Linked DNA regions of Astyanax mexicanus. The protein of the gene in region 1 interacts with the protein of each later gene in a biochemical or structural test. Links are inferred from orthologs where the notes say so. Each region holds a gene or a part of one and is shown in the gene's direction. Other genes may lie near its edges.

Region 1 (10,066 bases):
TGTGTTGGTCATTCTTTAGTCCTTCATTCGGTCACAGGTTGCGTCCCACAGCACAGGATGCTGCCCACATAACACTACCCACAGGTCACTTATTCTTAGTCCATCAGTGACACAGTGGTTTCTAAGTGGTTGCTAGGTGGTTGTTAGATAACGAACAGAGTCGCCTGAGGTGTGCTTTTGCTTTTGCATACCTCAGGCGACTCTGCTTGCAGAAATGGCTTCTTTCGCATCACTCTCCCATACAGCTTCTTGTGCAAAGTGCTCTGTATTGTTGACCGATGCACAGTGACACCATCTGCAGCAAGATGATGCTGCAGCTCTTTGGAGGTGGTCTATGGATTGTCCTTGACTGTTCTCACCATTCTTCTTCTCTGCCTTTCTGATATTTTTCTTGGCTTAACAAGAACTGTCCCTGTGGTCTTCCATGTCCTTACTATGTTCCTCACAGTGGAAACTGACAGGTTAAATCTTTTGTATCCTTCATCTGAACAACTATGTTGAACAATCTTTGTTTTTAGATCATTTGAGAGTTGTTTTGATGAGCCCATGATGCCACTCTTCAGAGGAGATTCAAATAGGAGAGCAACTTGCAATTGGCCACTTTAAATACCTTTTCTCATGATTGGATACACCTGGCTATGAAGTTCAAATCAATAAAATGATAAGGGTGCCCATACTTTTGCACCGGTCAAATTTTGGTTTAATGCATATTGCACATTTTCTGTTAATACAATCATTTCAATCCTGAAATATTACTGTGTCCATCAGTTATTAGATATATCAAACTGAAATGGCTGTTGCAAACACCCAAATATTTAGAACTAAAAATAATTAAGATTAATAGGGGTGCCATTTTTCATATAAATGTAAATTACATTAAAATGTGTTTGCACAATACAGTTCAAATACCCAGTTTTAACACTCATGTATGAACTTTATCAACCTGAGACATATCTGTATGACGGAATTAGAAGCAAACCACAGTGTAAATTCATAGTACTTGTACATTTGGTAAATTTTTATGTTTTTTCCTACTCTGTGTGCATTTGCACAAGCCTCTTTCTTGCTGCTGCATCTCTGAAATTGACTTAAAATGGCTTTATTCCAAAACTTTCACTTTTGGCTCAGCAGTCCACAGTAGCCTAAATTATTCCAGAAAGATTGGTGGGGGTCATTAAGGTGTGTTTTGGCAAATGGAGAGAAAAGTCTTTGATGTTCCTCTTGATTAGCAGTGCTTTTTGGCTTGCAGCTGTGCTGTGGAGACCATTTTCCTTGCTCGCACTCTACCAGGCTCCTTATCTACACTTCTGGAAGAGTTTTAGTAATTCAGGGAGATTCAGCACTCTCCATTTGGAGATAATGACTCTCTCTCTGTGGTTTCCTGGAGTCCTAGAGCCTTAGATAAGGCCACAGATGGGCTATAACATAAATACCATCTCCTTATTTCTGCAATAGTTGTCAATTTTATCAGCTCCACTGACCATATAGCAGCATTTTGTAGGTCCATAACAAGTTTCTCTGCATACTTTTTGTTAGCCTCTTGTTCTTTCATGAACAGGACCCCATAGAACCACCACGGAGCAGGTGATATTTTGGGTGGTGGGTCATTATTCTCAGCCCTGCAGTGACACTGACATGGTGGTGGTTTATGAGGTGTTAGTGTGTGTTGTTCTCGTATGAGTGGATGGGACACAGCAGTGCTGCTGGAGTTTTTAAACACCTCAATGTCAGTGCTTTACTGAAAATAGTCCACCAACCAGAAATATCCAGCCAACAGCATCCTGTGGGCAGTGTCTCTGACTTTACATTTACAAGGTGGAGCAGCTAGATAGGAGTGTATAATAGAGTGGACAGTGACACAGTGGGTACATTGTTTAAAAACTCCAGCAGCACTGCTGTGTTTGATCTACTTGTACTGTATCAGCACAACACACAGAGTAACTAACACACCACCACCATGTCAGTATCAGTGCAGTGATGAGAAGGATTCACCATCCAAATGATACCTGCACTAGGGTGATGCTGTGGGGTCTTGAGCATTGAAGAACAGGGTGAAAGAAGAATAATAAAATATGCAGAGAAACAGATACAGGACTACAGTCTGTAATTATAGAACTATATGAAACAGATTACCATATTTTTCACGCTATAAGGCGCACAGGATTATAAGGCACACTATCAACAAACGTCTATTTTTCTGGTCTATTTTAATACATAAATTGCACTGGATTATAAGGCGCATTTAAAGAGACACTATAAGGAACTTCTAATTCAGCAGGTCTCGCCACTGTGTGGTGGTGGCGGGTAGCTAACTAAGTTAAGTAAAGCTAAGCTAAGTAAACAAAACTGTCAAACAAGCACTGGATGTTAATCTACACACATTCCTCTCCTGAAAACTGTTTATTTGGGTGAGTAAAGTGCTTCTGTTTATTTACAGTGAGCTTAGATTCCCAAATTTTTCAAGTACTAAGGCTGGAGCCTTAGCATTAACAGCTAACTGCTAGTGGTTAGCGACTAATGCCGCCTGAGCTACACTGACGAACCCTGAGTGTTCCGGGTAATAGCCAGGGCAATATCACCTAGAACACCTAAAACAGTTCGTCCCACGTACCCTGTTTTAACACGGTAGACAACGCACAAACAACAGTCCAATATACTAACCTTTGAACAATGAAATAGCTAGCACAGATAGCAGCTAATGCCAATACTGCTCTAGCAGTGCAAGCCAGGGTTGGCAGCAGGCTACAGGCTGATAATACTCACCTCTGCACAGGGAAATAGCAGCTAATGCTAATGCTACTGTTCAACCACTGGTGGAAAGTTGTATGCAGTAAAATGTACTACATACACTTGTAATGTAGTTACAGTTGTCTATCTTTTTGTTGTCATGGGATGACCAATGATCCAGATATGTGTGTATGAAATATACAAAAAAAAACAATTCTGGATATGGCAGTCTGTCTGATTATTTATCTACTAATTATATGTCTGTCATTTCAGTATGTACTTTACAGAAAGTATTTATTCTGAAGTGTTGTTTTAGTGTTTTTTTTAGTCTACAATTCTAAAATGTCTATAAACGATGGCAATTTTTTAAAATTGAAATTAAATTCACAGTTTACTTTATCACTTTTAACACCCTGACCTTTATCTCATATGTGTTAAAATAAACAACAGGGGGATTTTAGAAGTGGCTATAGTTATTTTTATTTTTAAACAGTAACCCAGAGCATGCTGCTCATTTTAATGCCTCAGCTCTTGTGGTCACTCAGCCCTGATCAGAAGTGAAAGCACCAATATAGACTTGCTTAGAAGTCAGGTATATTTCTGCTCTATGTGTTCCACTCTCTACCTCAATGTGCTCACTTCTGCATCTGAGCGTGAAATGAGCGTTTAGAGAGCGAGCGTCCGATACCATGCTGTGCCTTTCGTTTCCCATTCTCATATTGGTGGTATGGAGCTTTAAAAGGGAAAAAATCTACCATAGTACACTTCTGTGCATATATTAACCATTTGAAATCAACCTTAAATAAATCAATTACTTTATTTTATATTTTATTTTAGTTTATTAATTTTTATTTAAACACATCTTAGTTGTGGTGTATATATACAGCTCTGGGAAAAAAATTAGACCACTTAAAAAAGATGAGTTTCTTTTATTTTACCAAATTAAAAACATCTGGAGTATAATTAAGAGGAAGATGGATTATCACAAGCCATCAAACCAAGCTGAACTTCTTGAATTTTTTCACCAGGAGTGGCATAAAATTATCCAAAAGCAGTGTGTAAGACTGTTGGAGGAGAACATGCCAAGATGCATGAAAACTGATCAAGGTAAAAATGTTATCCATAGCTTATAGAATAAAACAAAAACAATAGTAAACAGTAGTAACAGTAGGTGCAGGATTTATTATTTTTTGCATTATGTTTCTTTAATATTTAAACAAACAAAAAAAAACTAAATAAAGTTTGCTTGGCTTAAATAACTAACTTCTTTCATAACCTTCTAATCATTTACTCAGCATTTTCATTTGATTGTATGTATTTCTCGTGGGAACTGTCTTTTATAGTTTTGGAAATGTAACAGGGTGTGTGTTAACAAATGGACAATAATAGAATACAAAAGTAAATAAAAAAACAGCTTAAAGAGAAAATTCTAAGATTGTTTAGCAAGGTTTTGAAAAGGTTCCAGGAAGGTTAGAGAAATTATTTTCTAGAAAAGGTCTGAAAACGTGTGACCAAAATAATGGTTTGCATCACAATGTTATTAGAACATTTATCATATAATGTTCCAAGCTAGATGGAAACCTTACTAAAAGTAGCATTGCCAAAGCTTAAAATTAAAACATTGACAGTGTTGTTTCAGCAACGTTACCAGAACGTTTAAAAATGTTATAAGAACATCCAAAATACTTGACAGATAAAATGTTTAAAGAATGTTAACTAAAATGTTCAGAAAATGTTCTACTAACCAAAAAAAAAAACATTGTTAGCTTAAATGAACACTTTAGAGATCTGTTTTATGTGTGGATTAAATAATGTGTTAACAATGATTATATATTACGTCATACAGGAAGAGGATGTTAAATAAAGTCTAAAATATAAACTCTTGTGTTGTTAAATGTTATGTTTTATACATTAAATTCACCAATGAAAATATTCATTTTACTTTAATGTGAGTTTTAATTAAACACATTTTGGTTGTTGTGTATTTATATACAGCTCTGGAAAAAAAATAGAGACCACTTAAAAATAATGACCAAATTGAAAGCATCTGGAATATAATCAAGAGGAAGATGGATGATCACAAGCCATCAAACCAAGCTAAACTGCTTGACTTTTTGCACCAGGAATGACATAAGGTTATCTAAAAGCAGGGTGTAAGACTGGTGGAGGAGAACATGCCAAGATACATGAAAACTGTGATTAAAAAACAGCGTTATCCAGTGTTATAGTTTATAGAATAAAACCAAATTATATACATAAATAAAGTGGTGCAGGCAGTTTTTATTTCATGTGAGATTCAATTTAACACATTTTAGTTGTTGTGTATTTATATACAGCTCTGGAAAAAAATTTTAGACCACTTAAAAATTGGGATCATCACAAGCCAACAAACCAATCTGGACTGCTTGAATTTTTGCACCAGGAGTGACATAAAGTTATGTAAAAGCAGTGTGTAAGACTGGTGGAGGAGAACATGCCAAAATGCATGAGAACTGAGATTAAAAACCAGGGTTATCCGTAGTTATATATAGTTTATAGGATAAAACCATATTGTTAATAAATAAATAAAGTTGTGCAGACAGTTTCTAATAATCCTCCAGAGGATGACCCTCCATCTTTCTTCATGAATGAATGCTAAAGCAGTGGATTGTGCAAGTCAGGACAACACTACATGCAACAGCTGGAAACTCCTAGATATAAAGAGAGAGAAAAAGAAAGAGAATTTAGTAGACGTACAGACAGATGGACAGAAAGACAGACGAGCATAGAGGCAAGAGGAACTTCCCACACTTCCCACATTATGTCAAGCTTGGTTGCAGCATACTTACAATCAGCACCTCCTGTCCGGCAGTTCCTGTCAGAGCAGTTCACGCAGCGTTAGTGGAGTAGCCGAGGCTGAGATGAGTCTGCCGACCAGGGAGCAGTTTGAGGACTGGGGTCCGGCTCAGGTGGCCCTTTTCCTGACTCAGGTAAGAGATCAGAGAAGTGGTCTTTAGGATTTCTCCTCAGGAACTGTGCTGAACATTCTGCAGCATTTTCAACACAATCTCTATCTGACACATCTGTAACACGCAGTCAGATAACATAGGGACTGTACTTTCCTTTACTAAAAACACACTTAATAAACTAACAGAAGATACTTAACCATATAATATACTCTTATTTAAGTGTGTTAACAACTGTCCTGACCTTTAACTATACGCAAAATTAGTGGTTATAGAAAGTCAAGCTTGTTTCCCTTTCACAGATGAGAGAACAGATAAGCACATTGAGCACAGCCCGAGCTTTCACCACACGTGAACTGCATTTTAAATATGGTGTGTGCATGTGTGTGAGTGTGTGTGTGGTTTAAGAACTGTTACAGAGGTGCAATATTATTTATATTTTTCGAACAGAACAAGATGCGAGAGTGTGCTTTAACAGTACAGAGGATGAAGATTGATGGCCGCTGGTTTCTGGTAAGAAGAAATAAATGACTACATGGTGCTAAATGGGGCTAATTAAGCTTTCTAACACTTTACAATAAGACTACATTACTTAACAGTTATGTACTGTACTTACAACAGAATGTCTCATCTAGGCATTAATTGACACTAGTTGAGACAGTATTAATAATAGTAACAATTTAATGAACTCAATATTTATATAAAACATAAGCAGTTAAATTATATTGTAATGAACATATTAAAAAATATGTTAACTAATGTCAGTTAATAATAAAAAAATGTTTATTACCGTCCTATATACCTTTACTGAGAAGTGTTAACATGCTATGTGTACGTATCTTATCAAATAATACGATTTATACTATCTAACCTGAAATAATCTGAGTTGTCCACCCCCCCCTCCCCACTCACTCACAAGTCTCCACAAGTGCCCAAACACAACATAGTACATATTTACTTGATTAATATCAGTATAATCTACACTTAAATATCATCTGGGCAATTAAATCCCCTGGTTTTGTTGTTTTTGTCATTTTGGAGCATCAGACAGAGCAGGAAGCTGATAAGTGTGTTTGAATCAGAGCTGCAGTTTGGAGTCAGGTGAAGAGAAGCTGCTCTGCACTGAATTTGAGAGCTTAATTTTTTTAAGATAAAAGGCTTGAGCCCAGTAACAGCGAATCTTCTTCTTCTTCCTCCTCGTATTTAGTCCCACTCGAGGGTGGGGTCCGTGTGTTTGGATGCTCGTCATCATTTTGTTCGATGCAGGGCGCTTTCAAGGGCGACGCATGCGTATTACATGTCTTCTCTTATCTGGTCCATCCACCACTTCTTTGGCCGTCCGCAAGGCCTCTTACCTTGCAGGCTTATGTGCGGGGCCCATTCATGATGAATTTTTGAATTTTTGCACCATGAGTGGCCTAAATTTATCCAAAAGCAGAGTGTAAGACTGGTGGAGGAGAACATGCTAAGAAGGTCTGAAAGCTCTGCATCTGTTGTGTTAATATCAGCCATTTCTCATTTTCTGCAAATAAATGCTCTAAATGACAATATTTTTATTTGTAATTTGGGAGAAATGTTGTCTGTAGTTTATAGAATGAAACAACAATGTTCATTTTACTCAAACATATACCTATAAATAGCAAAATCAGAGAAACTGATTCAGAAACTGAAGTGATCTCTTTTTCTTTTTAAGAGGAGTATATATATATATATATGGTCAAATTCATGCAAATATCTATTTTCTGTTTACATACATTTCAAATGAAGACTTTTGTTCGTAAATAGTATTTATGCATCTAATGTCTATCTTTGCACTTTTGTCCTCTGTTCTGGAGAACTTGTACTGTACAACCCAGTATGAGTATAATACCGATAAAGTTTAATTTAATTAAACAGCAATACAGCGGTGTAAAATACCAGACTGGACTTTCATTTAAAGAACACTCACAAAAGATCATGCATGCTAACGTGGTTAACAATCAATATAAGACATGCAGTACTAATTGGGATTTGCTACTTTTCCATTTCCCTGAACCAAATGAACAAAAACCCAGAGTTTCTGCTACAGATGTGCTGGAACTATGATAGAGTAGAAATGGGGACTGACTGGTCCCTGAGGACTTGACTACACTTGTCTACTCCATTACATTTTGTAAGATGAATTCAATTTTCCTGCACTACATTTCCCCTAAGGGGTGTAGTTACATTTTAGAAAAATGGCAATACCTTGCTCCCAATCCCTTTAGATTAATATATAAAGCTTACCCACAGTACACACACTGTTTGTACTCTGTGTTGTTATTCAGTCAGTGCCTTTATCAGGCCTCGGCAGGTTAAAATTACACAACAGAACAGAAACGGATCACGGAGGTTTAGCTAAATGTTTCATTTTCAGTTTGTTTCTTTATAAAATATCAAAGTTTGATTTTTTTTTATCAACAGAAAAAAACAAGATCTGCTACCAATTCCTAATTAATCTTGTCACCAGCTAATCTTACCTCAACTTCAGTCTCTTTAATGTTCAAAGGATTATGAAAGATGAAAGTGTTCGTTAGCAGGGAAGTCACTGATAGATCATTACAGGTGATGAGAATTAAAAAAAGATAAAAGTTGTGAAAAAGTAAAAAAAAGAGTGTGATTAGGGAAGTGAGATGACAGAATAATGGCACTTCCTCTGCTAGGAAATGTGTAACACATGGGCTTTTATGATGAAGTCACTAAAACACCCTGTCATAACCCTTTCCTGCGATAAACGCTTTACCATAAAATCTGTCTGATTTATTCAAATGTGAACTGGTCAGTTGGTTTGGTCAGACATGCAAATTAGGCTGAGAATGCAGCACAACACAAAAAGTGAAATTAGGGAAGTGCTTGGTCTATGAGGTGAAATGACTTAATTCAGATTTAAAGAAGCTCTATTGGCATGACTGTACTGCCAACAATATTGCCAAAGCATTACAATAAAAACAGCAACAACACAATTACAATAAAATAAAACAACAAGATTTACTAAATAAGTGACAATAGTAGTGAATACAATTATGAAAAACATTAAACGCTCAGATTTTTACAAAGGGATATGTATAAAATACAATTCTGAAAAAAAATAAGAGACCACTTAAAAATGATGAGTTTCTTTGATTTTACCAAATTAAAAACCTCTGGAATATAATCAAGAGAAATACCACAAGCCATCAAACCAAGCTGAACTGCTTACATTTTTGCACCAGGAGTGACATAAAGTTATCCAAAAGCAGTGTGTAAGACTGGTGGAGGAGAACATGCCAAGATGCATGAAAACTGTAATTAAAAAGCAGGGTTATCCCACCAAATATTGATTTCTGGACTCTTAAAACATTATAATATAAAAGCTCTGCATCTTTTTTGTTATTTCTTATTTTCTGCAAATAAATGCTCTAAATGACAATATTTGTATTTGGAATTTGGGAGAAATCCATAGTTTATAAAATAAAACAACAATGTACGCAATTGTATATATGTATATATGTGGTCACTGATGTCTTTATATGGTCAGGATTTGTTTTTCTAAATGCTATTGGCTCTATTATACATCCTGAGCAAGGCACGGCAACAGTCTATTTTCACGCCTTGCTTCTGCACTGTTAAAATAGCATCAGGAGTTTATGAATACATCTACACTGATGGGCACAGTGGTCTGGAAGTGCGGTGTGTTCAGAAAATTTCTAAAGTGTTTCTATCTTGGTGGTGGAAAACACAGGTGCGCCACTGATCGATTTAAACCCTGACAACAGTCAATAGTCGTCCATTCTTCTCTTAGCTCAGCACACCTACACCCCCGCTCCTTACACACACACGAACGAGCTGCAGTGGGCAAATCCTGCTTTTACCTCAACAATAAACAGAATAAAGAATAAACTAACACTGCTGTTTCCATAAATTAACTGGTGGTGCACCATTACAGTGTGAACAAGCAGGTCAGTATCCTCTACAAAGATGTGCAAAACACTGAGCTGTTAAAATATCAATGCACCAAAGTCAGAGCATACCTGGCTCTTAAATGGAATGGCAAGTGAAATGCTGACTGGTTTATTTACCATAACACCCAAAACATACCCACGATTAAATTAAGAGATTTTTACATGTTTTTTGCACATTTGAGCTATGCAAGGCGTGCTTGTTCCGTCCTCATAATATTAAAGACACACCGACATGTCCTAAATCAGCTGCGCAATGTACGGTTACATGGCTCACCTATAGATCACTAAAACAGGGCCCTATAAGTGCTTTTGTTGCTTTGCTGCATAGTTTTAGTGTTTTAGTCACCACACAGACTAAATCATTTTATACTGGGGGTGTAACACTCCTCCAAAATCACAATTTAGTTCATTGCAATGAGAAAAAAGGGAAATAAC
Region 2 (9,697 bases), on another chromosome or scaffold:
TAATTTAGATCCCTTTTAAACAATTAATAACATATTTTGCACAGATTTTTGCTTTTCCTGCTCAAGCACACCTTACTCAACCTGCCGATTCACAATTGCCAATAGAAGGTCTGTTAGGCTACTTTCAGACTGCTGGCAAATTAGATTTGTTTATCAAATTAGATCTGTTGAGATTACTTTTCACACTGATATTCAGTGATCAGATCAGATTTGTACATCCGGTTATCATCTGTATCCTATCAGTCACTCTGAATTTGATGAGGTTGTTTGTCAAGAAAATGCATTGAAATCCTGTTTGAAGGGACAGAGCGTCCAGACAAAGATGCATCTATACAAATCTGACTGTAATCGCGTTTAAAACCACGCGGTTTGGAACCTGTGCTACGTTACAAAAATCAGACTTGATTTATGTTTTCTGGCTGATCAGAATATCAAAACTCAAAATGGGAAAAAGTCTAGATAGGCCACAAAATCAGAGGTTGATTTGAGGTGGCAGTCTAAACACAGCCTTTTAGAGCAGGGAAATCAGTAAACTGTGCTGCAGCAGTCCTTTATTGTGCATATTTACTCAGATCCATGACTCCGTTTGAGACTCTGCCTTTACAGAAAAGCCTTTGAGTGCATTTGAGTGAGAAAGAAGAGGAATAGAAAGTAGGTTTTATTGATGGAGAGATGAGGAACTGAAAATAGATGGACACTGTAGGTTAACTGGAGGAGTGGAACTGGAGCGGTGACTCCTCCAAAGTTTGCTTTGATATACCCATACAATGGCGAGATATTAATATTATTATAGTAATAGTAATATAATATTAAATAATGCAGTTATAGCTTCCAATAGACTTCAGGCATGTAGAATAACGGACACTCACAGCTGTTGTTTTATTGGATGTTTTGTGCAGCAGTTACACACATCCACTGTGGTTGGAGGTCACATGTCCTCAGAGCGCATGCAGGGGTTCAGGTCCTAACATTCCGTCGGCGGCACTGTTTGTTTGGAGACCGTTGCAGAAAGTTTAAGGGGTGGTTTTGTTACATGCTTTTTATACATACACATTTTTGTCAGGTCAGATACACAGCGACTGTATGATCGTTCTTTCTGTATCTCTCTATTTTTATGATTGTAATTATTGCGTTGTTTTCAGATTTGTAGTTTAGTTTTAAAAGGTAGTCTTGAAAATTTGCAGGACCAAAGAGATGTAATCAGCTTAATCAGGTGGATATATTCCTTAATTATTCAGTATTTATAAGCATAATATTGGCTGTAATTGTCAGTGGCTAATTTACATGCTGTTCCCAAACCCTGAATGCAAATGTATGTGAGAATACATAATATATATATATAAAAAGATATATATAGAAGAATAGTATAGTCTATACAGTATATGAACAAGGACTGATCTGCCATAACATTGAAACCACTCAGAGGAAAAGAGCATTGAAGTAACATTGATTATTGAGTTACATTGGCACATGTCAAGGAAGAGGAACTATACAGTCAGTTTCTGAAGATGTGTTGAAAGCTGAAAAAAGGTCAGTTGTAAGAATCTAAAGCACTTTGACAAGAACCTATTTGAGATGAATCCGAGCATCTCTAAAACGTTAGAAAGGTCTTGTGAGTTTTTTTCAAGAATTAAACTTATAGAACCTATGAAAAGGGGTCTAAGAAAGGACAAATTACTGAATAATACATGCTGGCTATAGGGTTTACAGTCAGGGCTCTTTCAGCAACACAAGAGGGATTTATACAATATTAGGCATGTGGTTTCAATGTTATGGCTGGTCGAGTTATAAATCAGAATATATAAAGATTTATATGATAGTAATATTTAGGATTAGCCTTAAGTAAGTATTGTTTGCTTGGTCCTATATTAATAATTTGCCTTAAATGGACCATCAAGTCTTTGCCAATAAAGCTGACCTATTGACCGATCCAGTACAGTACAAATAGGGAAATTCCTTTTCAAGTAAATGAGCTTCAGATATCAGAATATTAGGACCACCTCCACATTTCTACATTCATTGTCCCTCTGATCAGCTCCTCTAAACATATAGGAGTATTATGTATACTTTCTTAGCATCACTGTAGTGTTGAGAAGGATATCTGCTTCATGGTGGTGCTGTGGTTTCCTTAGCATTGAAGAACAGGGTGAAAGGAGAATAATAAATACTGTAATGCAAAAAATCAGATTACAGAGCTAAAGTCTGTAACTATAGAATTACAAAGTGCTCCTATATGCTCAGTGGAGCTGATGGAATTAATTTTGAGTGTAGAAACAATGAGGATGTTATAATATTGTGAGTATAAATTCCTATCCAGAAAGGATTAGTATCACACTTCTACTCCGTGATAAAACGTTTGCATCTGCACAGCAATTGAAGAAACAGGAGGATCAGTGAGTTGTTTTTTTTTTTTTTTTTTGGCCTACTCAGTCACATGACATTACGTTCAGTAGCTCCTCCATTTCCACTTGCTGTTGTGTTTATGCAGATATTCAGGAAAATGCACGCCCAAAGTGTAATTACGGTGGATTTTTAGTGGAAAATAGCTATTTTATTAAATGCGAGGTGATGAAACTCAGACATCTCAAAATTATCTTATGAGTTCAGCGAAAAACAGTAATTCATCCTACAACACACAGAAAAACACAGATGGTTGTTCTGGACAGGAATAAAATCACAGAGGACCCCCATAAAAGAGAAAATTACCCCAGGACCCAGATAAAGAAAAAAAATCTTAGGTCTAAAATGTAAAACATAAGGTTTTCCATACTGCCCTCTGGTGGAGTGATTAAAATCTAGCTATACTGTTTATCTGCTGAGCTGTGTGCTATTATGGCCTTTTAGCACAGTTGGATTTTGGTGACCTTTCAGTGAAGCTTGTCTAACTGTAACAAGAACACAAGCCTCATAGTTTGTTCTCATCGCTGGCTGTTTCACCTGTACTGTTACTAGTCATTGTAATGACCATATATATATATATATATATATATATATATATATATATATATATATATATATATATATATATATATATATATATATATAAATATAAATTATATATATGAATATATATATATATAGTATATTTGCATTGCAATGGCCACTCTTTCTGATTTAAAGAATTTGTTTTAAAGGATCATTCATGCAACAAATATGCTTGTTATCTTAGGGTAATTAGCAAAGTAGATGAAATGGATTGTGGTGTAATTATGTTGCTGAATCTTTTGAAATACAGATCTATACTGTAGTGCAGTTCTCCATCCTTTTATTATCAAGTGTTTTACAGTAACTGCAAACAAAATGGGTTGTGGGGATTGGGAACTTTTTAAGCATTTAATTGAAAATGTGCGTTACAGTGAATAACCATGCATTGCCTTCATGTAAGAGGGAGTCAGAGAGAAAGAACTCCCTTGATCTAGACTATATAAAGAAATCCTGACCTGTAGAATAAATATGTGGAAGGTCGAGCATCTTAGAGGATCTTAAAGACTTGCTATTACACTTTTTCAGATGAAAAAGAGAGAATTCAGTGATGTTTCTTTCTTTCTTACTCCACAACATGCTTTTATCTAGCCAAGATACGCACACCAACACACACATATACACACACACACACACTCTTATTGATATGTATGAATCTATTTATAATGCAGGGTGGCTCATGCTGAATTTTTTTCTTTTTTTTTTCTTTATTCTGTCTCAAGGGCTGACTAGTGAACCTAGTGGTGCTCTTCCTCTTTTTCATCATCAGCAGATGTTTCAGTTCCACATCTGCAGGGTGTTTTGCCTGCCATGTATCCACCCCCACCCAAATTTAAGCCCTCACAAGCTTCACAAATTAGCAAAGCATTTGTTGTAACATTTTATATAATGCAGTTTTAGAGTCACATTGGTTTTAGCCACATTTTCTGCTTCTTTCACATAAATGCTGTGTACATTTTCTTTGTGACAATTATGTAAAATTGTCGCTCATCCCTCTGCTGTCAATCTTTAGAAATGATTATGCAAGAACTATTCTGTGTATTTGGGCTTTTCATTTTATTATGTAAGATACTTTAATGGAATTGAGGTACTTTTTTATTATTACTGTAATTTCCCTTTTTTTTTTTTTTTAAATAAATGATTTAAAACAGCAGTTTGTCTTTAAATTATGATGTGTGCGTGTGTTTATAATATGCTTTCACATATACTGACAATGCAAAACTGTACCCTTGGAACACCTACAGTTGTGTGAGGTGATATCTTGTGAGTGAGGGTAAACATTTCCAGTGTGCTCATAGCAAGGCAAGAGTTCCAATTAGGCCTGATAGTGGGTGTCAAGTGGATCCACAGTAGGTTCGTGCAGTGTCCTTTACCTTCTATAGGACATGGCAAAAGTCACGGGACACAATACTGGTTTCTGTCTTGTAACTTGTGGTATGCGCGTGAATGATTAAGTGTTCATTTAACAGTTATCTGAGACATTCCAGGCAAACTGGCAGCTTGGTTATGGGGAAAAACATAAAAAGAAATATGGAGAAAAATTAATTATTTAAAATAAGGAAATAAAGTGCCCTAGAATAGAAATACCATAAGTCATAAAAAGCAAAGTATGTGTGTAAATCTATGCTTTGATTTCATACTCCTCATAGCAACATATCAATTTAAAAGTAGTTACCAAATAAATCCTCTAAAAATGCTCTTTATCAGTTAGCTTTTATTTAATAAAAGACACCCTGGAAAAGAATATTTGGTCATAGTGAAATAATATATAATAGTTAACTAATTAAAATTTGCAACATGGAGGCAACATACTTTAAAATGTGTTGCCAAACAGCTGTGCAACAAGTCAATTCCAAAACTCGCTAAAATATTCCAAAATAGCCTTGACTCATATTTGCACCCCAACATACATGAAACCTTTTGCACTAGAGAATGCATTTTTAGATAGATAGAAAGAGATACTTTATTGATTTCAGAGGGAAATTCTGGAAAGTTCAACGCAACAACTACTTTGAGAGAACATTGAATTCCTTATAGGTTAAAAATGCTAAATACTAACATGACATGCTGACAGTGAATGTCAGTCTGTATGCAAGGTGGTAAGGTGGGTGCAAGGCTAAAAGCTAACCCAGTAGAGGCAAGCCAGGTAATTGCTGCAACAAGAAGACTCCAAACGGTCCAAAAAAGATGGCAGCACCTTTAAAGCTACCTTTGTAAAGAGTCAAGGAAAATAAACATGTCATAGTGGCACTGTTACAGTGTTAGGCTAGACTAGGCAGTTCTATGAACTGGCCAATCAAAGCAAAGTTCATTGTTTTTCCACAGAGCCACCATTAAGAAAGTTAGCATGTTGTATTCTGAGGTAAAATTACAGGATTGTACAGTACAAGTCTTGTAGTTTATAGAATAAAAATACCTTGCTAAAATTCTCAATAAGTGCAGTTTTGTCACCTTATTAATGTAAATAGTTAATTTACAAATATATATGTTTGTATTTATTAAACCCCAATATATATTAAGCTAAAATATTACCATATTAAGGAGAAGAAAAGAGAAATGACAGAAGTTGAGTGGTGGGGAAGGGAAAAAAACAAATGAGTGGGAGTGAACAGAAAAAAGACTTGTTATACAGCGAGGAAGTGGCATTTAAGTCACTGTTTTACTGGACTCTGTGTTTGAAGTACAGAAGATGAAGATGGAAGCAAGCATTGTGGTTCTGCTGTGTCTCCTGGCAGGTACGTATGAAAAAGTAATTTTATTGGTTTTAATTGACATTTCCTGTTAATTGGAAAACTGCCTCAGCTAATTTACAGTGTTTTATTATTGGCTAAACTAAATTGTTACCAATATGTAAAGAGGTACAAGGTGCTGTACCTGCAACTTCTGAAGAATGTTTTAAGGCTTGTTTTTGTTATCTTGGGTTAATGAGGAGTCTTCAATACATTACTACTTAACTGTATTACTACATAACTGTATTGAGCTTAGTCTGTTTAGTTTTATTTGCCTTGGTCTCATCAGCCACAGTTCAGAGACACTAGTTCCTGTCTTGCTTCAGTGGAGCTTATCTCCTTCTGAGCAGATGTTCCAGGCCTCTGAACAGTGTCATATTTCAGTTTATTCACTGTTACAGGCCATAAAATGTGCACAATCAAAAATTCTTCTTCTGTGTGGATTGTTAAAGTGATTTTAGATTAGTTTATGTGGGAGACAAAAAATTAGTTGCATGTGAAAGCTTGAATAACCCCTGTGAAATGACACCCTGCTAAAAAGCTAGCATGGCTAGCTTAAATACTGACCCCATATATGACTATTTAAAAAGCATAAGGCATTATAAGGTGTAATAAGGTGCTTTTAGATCCAGTTTGTTTTTAAGAGATCTGGGGTGGGTTTCCCGAAAACGATCAATCTTAGCGAATAACGAACGAACTAACGAATGACGTGTGTAAAGAACGAGCCAGTTCTGCGAGTGTTTCCCAAAGAGCTTCGCAACGTGAAAATTAACGAACGAGGTTAAAGAACATCTTTGTTGACTCCTCCCCCGAAACAGCGCGCTCAATCGATCCACAAATATCGATTCAACACTGCAATATGCAGTATTTATTCACTATTACACCCTAAAAACGTAGAAATGTGTTGTAATTAACAACATTATACTCCTAAAGATACATATGACTAAATAAATACTCGAAAATCTAATCTATTTTAAAACATTAAACTTATTTTTACATTTTTAAAACTATTATTGTTAATATATATTATATTAATATATATTATACTAATATTATTAACAGTAATATTGATAGTAATATTAATTTATTATTATTCTAATTTTTGTGTATTATAAAAATAATATAATAATACATATGTTCCTGTGTGTGTATATATATACACACACACACACACACATATATATATATATATATATATATATATATATATATATATATATATATATATATATATATATATATATATATATATATTACATTTTAAACCAACAGAAATATGTTTTGTACTTTATACTGTGAAGCTCCAGCTCATCCTAAATCACCATCTCAGTTGGGTTTATGTCAGGGGATTGTCAAAGCCATGCACCTTTTTGTCTACTAATTCCATTTGCGTCAATTAGTTTTCATGGTTTTAATATTAATCGACAATGTAAAAAAAAAAAAAAAACATGGAATGAGACGTGTCCAACTTTTGACTGATATTTGCGAGCTGACACACCCCAGAGTTTGCCCAGATGAACTTGGTGACTTTGCAGCTTTGCTTAGACCGTGAGCATCATCTGCAGGAATTGACTGATTGCATTTCTTGCAGCATTAATGTCAAGACTTCTATCATCGCTAATCTGGATTTAAATAATTTACTCGTGGGTTTGATTGCCCAGTTAGACTACAAGCCACAGTTGGCATTATAATATAATATAATATAATATAATATAATATAACTTATTCACTCATTTACTCACTCGTCAACCGCTTTATCCGTTAAGGGACGCGGGGGGGGGGGGGGGGGGGGGGGGGGGGGCGGGAAGGGGGTGAGTGGCTGGAGTCTATACCAGCTGGCATCGGGCTGAAGGCAGTATACACCCTGGACAGGATGCCAATCCATCACAGGGCAGACAGACACAGACAGACACACAGACACATTCACTCACACCTAAGGGGCAATTTTTATCCGACATCTAATTAGACTGAACTAATTTCTTTGGACTGTGGGAGGAAACCGGAGCACCCGCAGACACGGGAAATAATATAATATAATATAATATAATATAATATAATATAATATAATATAATATAATATAATATAATATAATATAATATAATATAATATAATATAATATAATATAATATAATATAATATAATATAATATAATGTAATGTAATATAATATAATAATTATATAATATAATAATAATTATATAGTAATATAATTGATTATAATTAATAGTAATATAATATAATATATTAATATTAATAATTATATAGTAATATAATTGATTATGATTAATAGTAATGTAATATAATTGCTTCAAACACGGAAATTATCATTTTTCTTCCTCAAAATTGGCGGTCCCTGGTGTTTAAGGTGCTGAACTGCAAGTCGAGATCCCCTAAAGAAGCTCGTTAAAAATAACGACTGGGTGAGAGCACTCGTTAATCTGCGAGAGAGTTTACGTAGTACTTTAGTTACGCACGGGTTTGGGAAACACTCTTTAATTAACGATCAATCTTAAGTACGAGTTAACGAAGTTCTTAGCGTTACGAAGCTTTCGGGAAACCCACCCCAGATATTGGAGAGAAAATATGATAAAAGCCTGTTTTCTCCTTCTCTTTCACACGTGTGATTGGGGAAAAAAGTCTGTCAACTGTACGCACGTTTGTGTTCACTCTTGGGCCACTTGATTCAGATTCTGGGAGATTTTATCTGACTTGCGCTTATCAGGGAGCCATTATTGATATGGGGTAGACTCCCTCAACTTCCGGGAGACTTGGGTATATATACCCAATATACAAGCAGGTGAATTAAAGTTACACAAGGCATAGAACTTTAAAGGTTCGATGCTTTTTCAAGAACGTCATAAACAATTAAATTCGGTAAGACTTGAGGCTTTCAATACTACATACTGTTGGGAAAATCAGCACTACCCTCAACTGCTCCAGTGCGTTCCCCTTGATTCTTTTGATGGAAGCCCGAAGTAGAGTTGATAGAGAGACAGGATACTTAGATCTTCAGCAAATTAGCAATTTATTACAACAGAGCTCTGGGAACCCCTTCCACTCAGACAGAGTTTCAGTAGAAGAAGTTCAGTGATCCTTACATTTGCAAGACCTTGTATCACCCAAAACCCCATCCAGCCATCCTGTGCAAAGGTCAGTTAAGCGGTTCCTCAGCAACTGTTTCTAACTGATTGAGTTAAAACACAATCTATGATTACTACTGTTCTCTACCTGTACTCTGGCCTCACCTCTGCTGCTTAGGTGCTGACTTTTGCATTACAAACTACAGACTGGACATTCAGTTTTGAGGTGTCAGCCTAACTGTCCTTTGCACACTCACCCACATACACAGTTCAGGTCCAATATCTAAAAACAACTCACTACTTGGGTTCACACAAACAAGATTATTTACATAACACGTCATTCTCTTACTCATAGTAAGGGTTTTGGATTAAATGTAATTATGCATAATTAACTGAAAGCCTACATTTAATTTTTAATATTTCTTAACAATACAACTGAATAAGGGACATTCCAGGATTTTGGAACATTTCCTGTCCCACCACTTAAACTTCAAATGTAGGTATCTAAAATATCTAAATGACTATTTTTTGTGAAAAATGTACTTGTTATAGGACAAACTGTAAAATATGGTGGAAAAATAAGCTCCTTAGATATTATTCAAAAGACCGAATACCTTTGGACCACCTCAAAAAAATGGCCATTTTCTCTTTAATTTAACAATTAAAATAAGCTCTAAATAAATGACTTCCTCTTGTATATTGTTGATATGCATCTCCTTTACTTATGAAAACAACTTCTTTGTTCTACATCGTATTGCATGTTACAGTTTTTATGCTATTAAGTTGTGTCCCACAACATGCGTGCAACCCTGTTACCATAAGGAATTTTACCTGGCAGAGAAAGAGATAAAAATATTTGTCTACTGGCACAAAGGAAGTTACATCACAAGGACATTTTCTGCCCAC

What was found.
Region 2: the proteins of blnk (region 1) and cd79a form a complex in vitro, tested with the Homo sapiens proteins (2 studies listed by BioGRID). The link is inferred for Astyanax mexicanus from reciprocal best matches to the Homo sapiens genes BLNK and CD79A.

Annotation. Positions count from the first base shown.
Region 1 is NC_064414.1:41,073,245-41,083,310, forward strand, and holds the start of blnk (B-cell linker protein), read left to right. Parts: upstream 1-5,566; 5' UTR 5,567-5,627; coding exon 5,628-5,696; intron 5,697-6,122; coding exon 6,123-6,185; intron 6,186-10,066. UniProt on the Homo sapiens protein: Functions as a central linker protein, downstream of the B-cell receptor (BCR), bridging the SYK kinase to a multitude of signaling pathways and regulating biological outcomes of B-cell function and development.
Region 2 is NC_064408.1:109,121,127-109,130,823, reverse strand, and holds the start of cd79a (B-cell antigen receptor complex-associated protein alpha chain), read left to right. Parts: upstream 1-5,490; 5' UTR 5,491-5,671; coding exon 5,672-5,717; intron 5,718-9,697. UniProt on the Homo sapiens protein: Required in cooperation with CD79B for initiation of the signal transduction cascade activated by binding of antigen to the B-cell antigen receptor complex (BCR) which leads to internalization of the complex, trafficking to late endosomes and antigen presentation.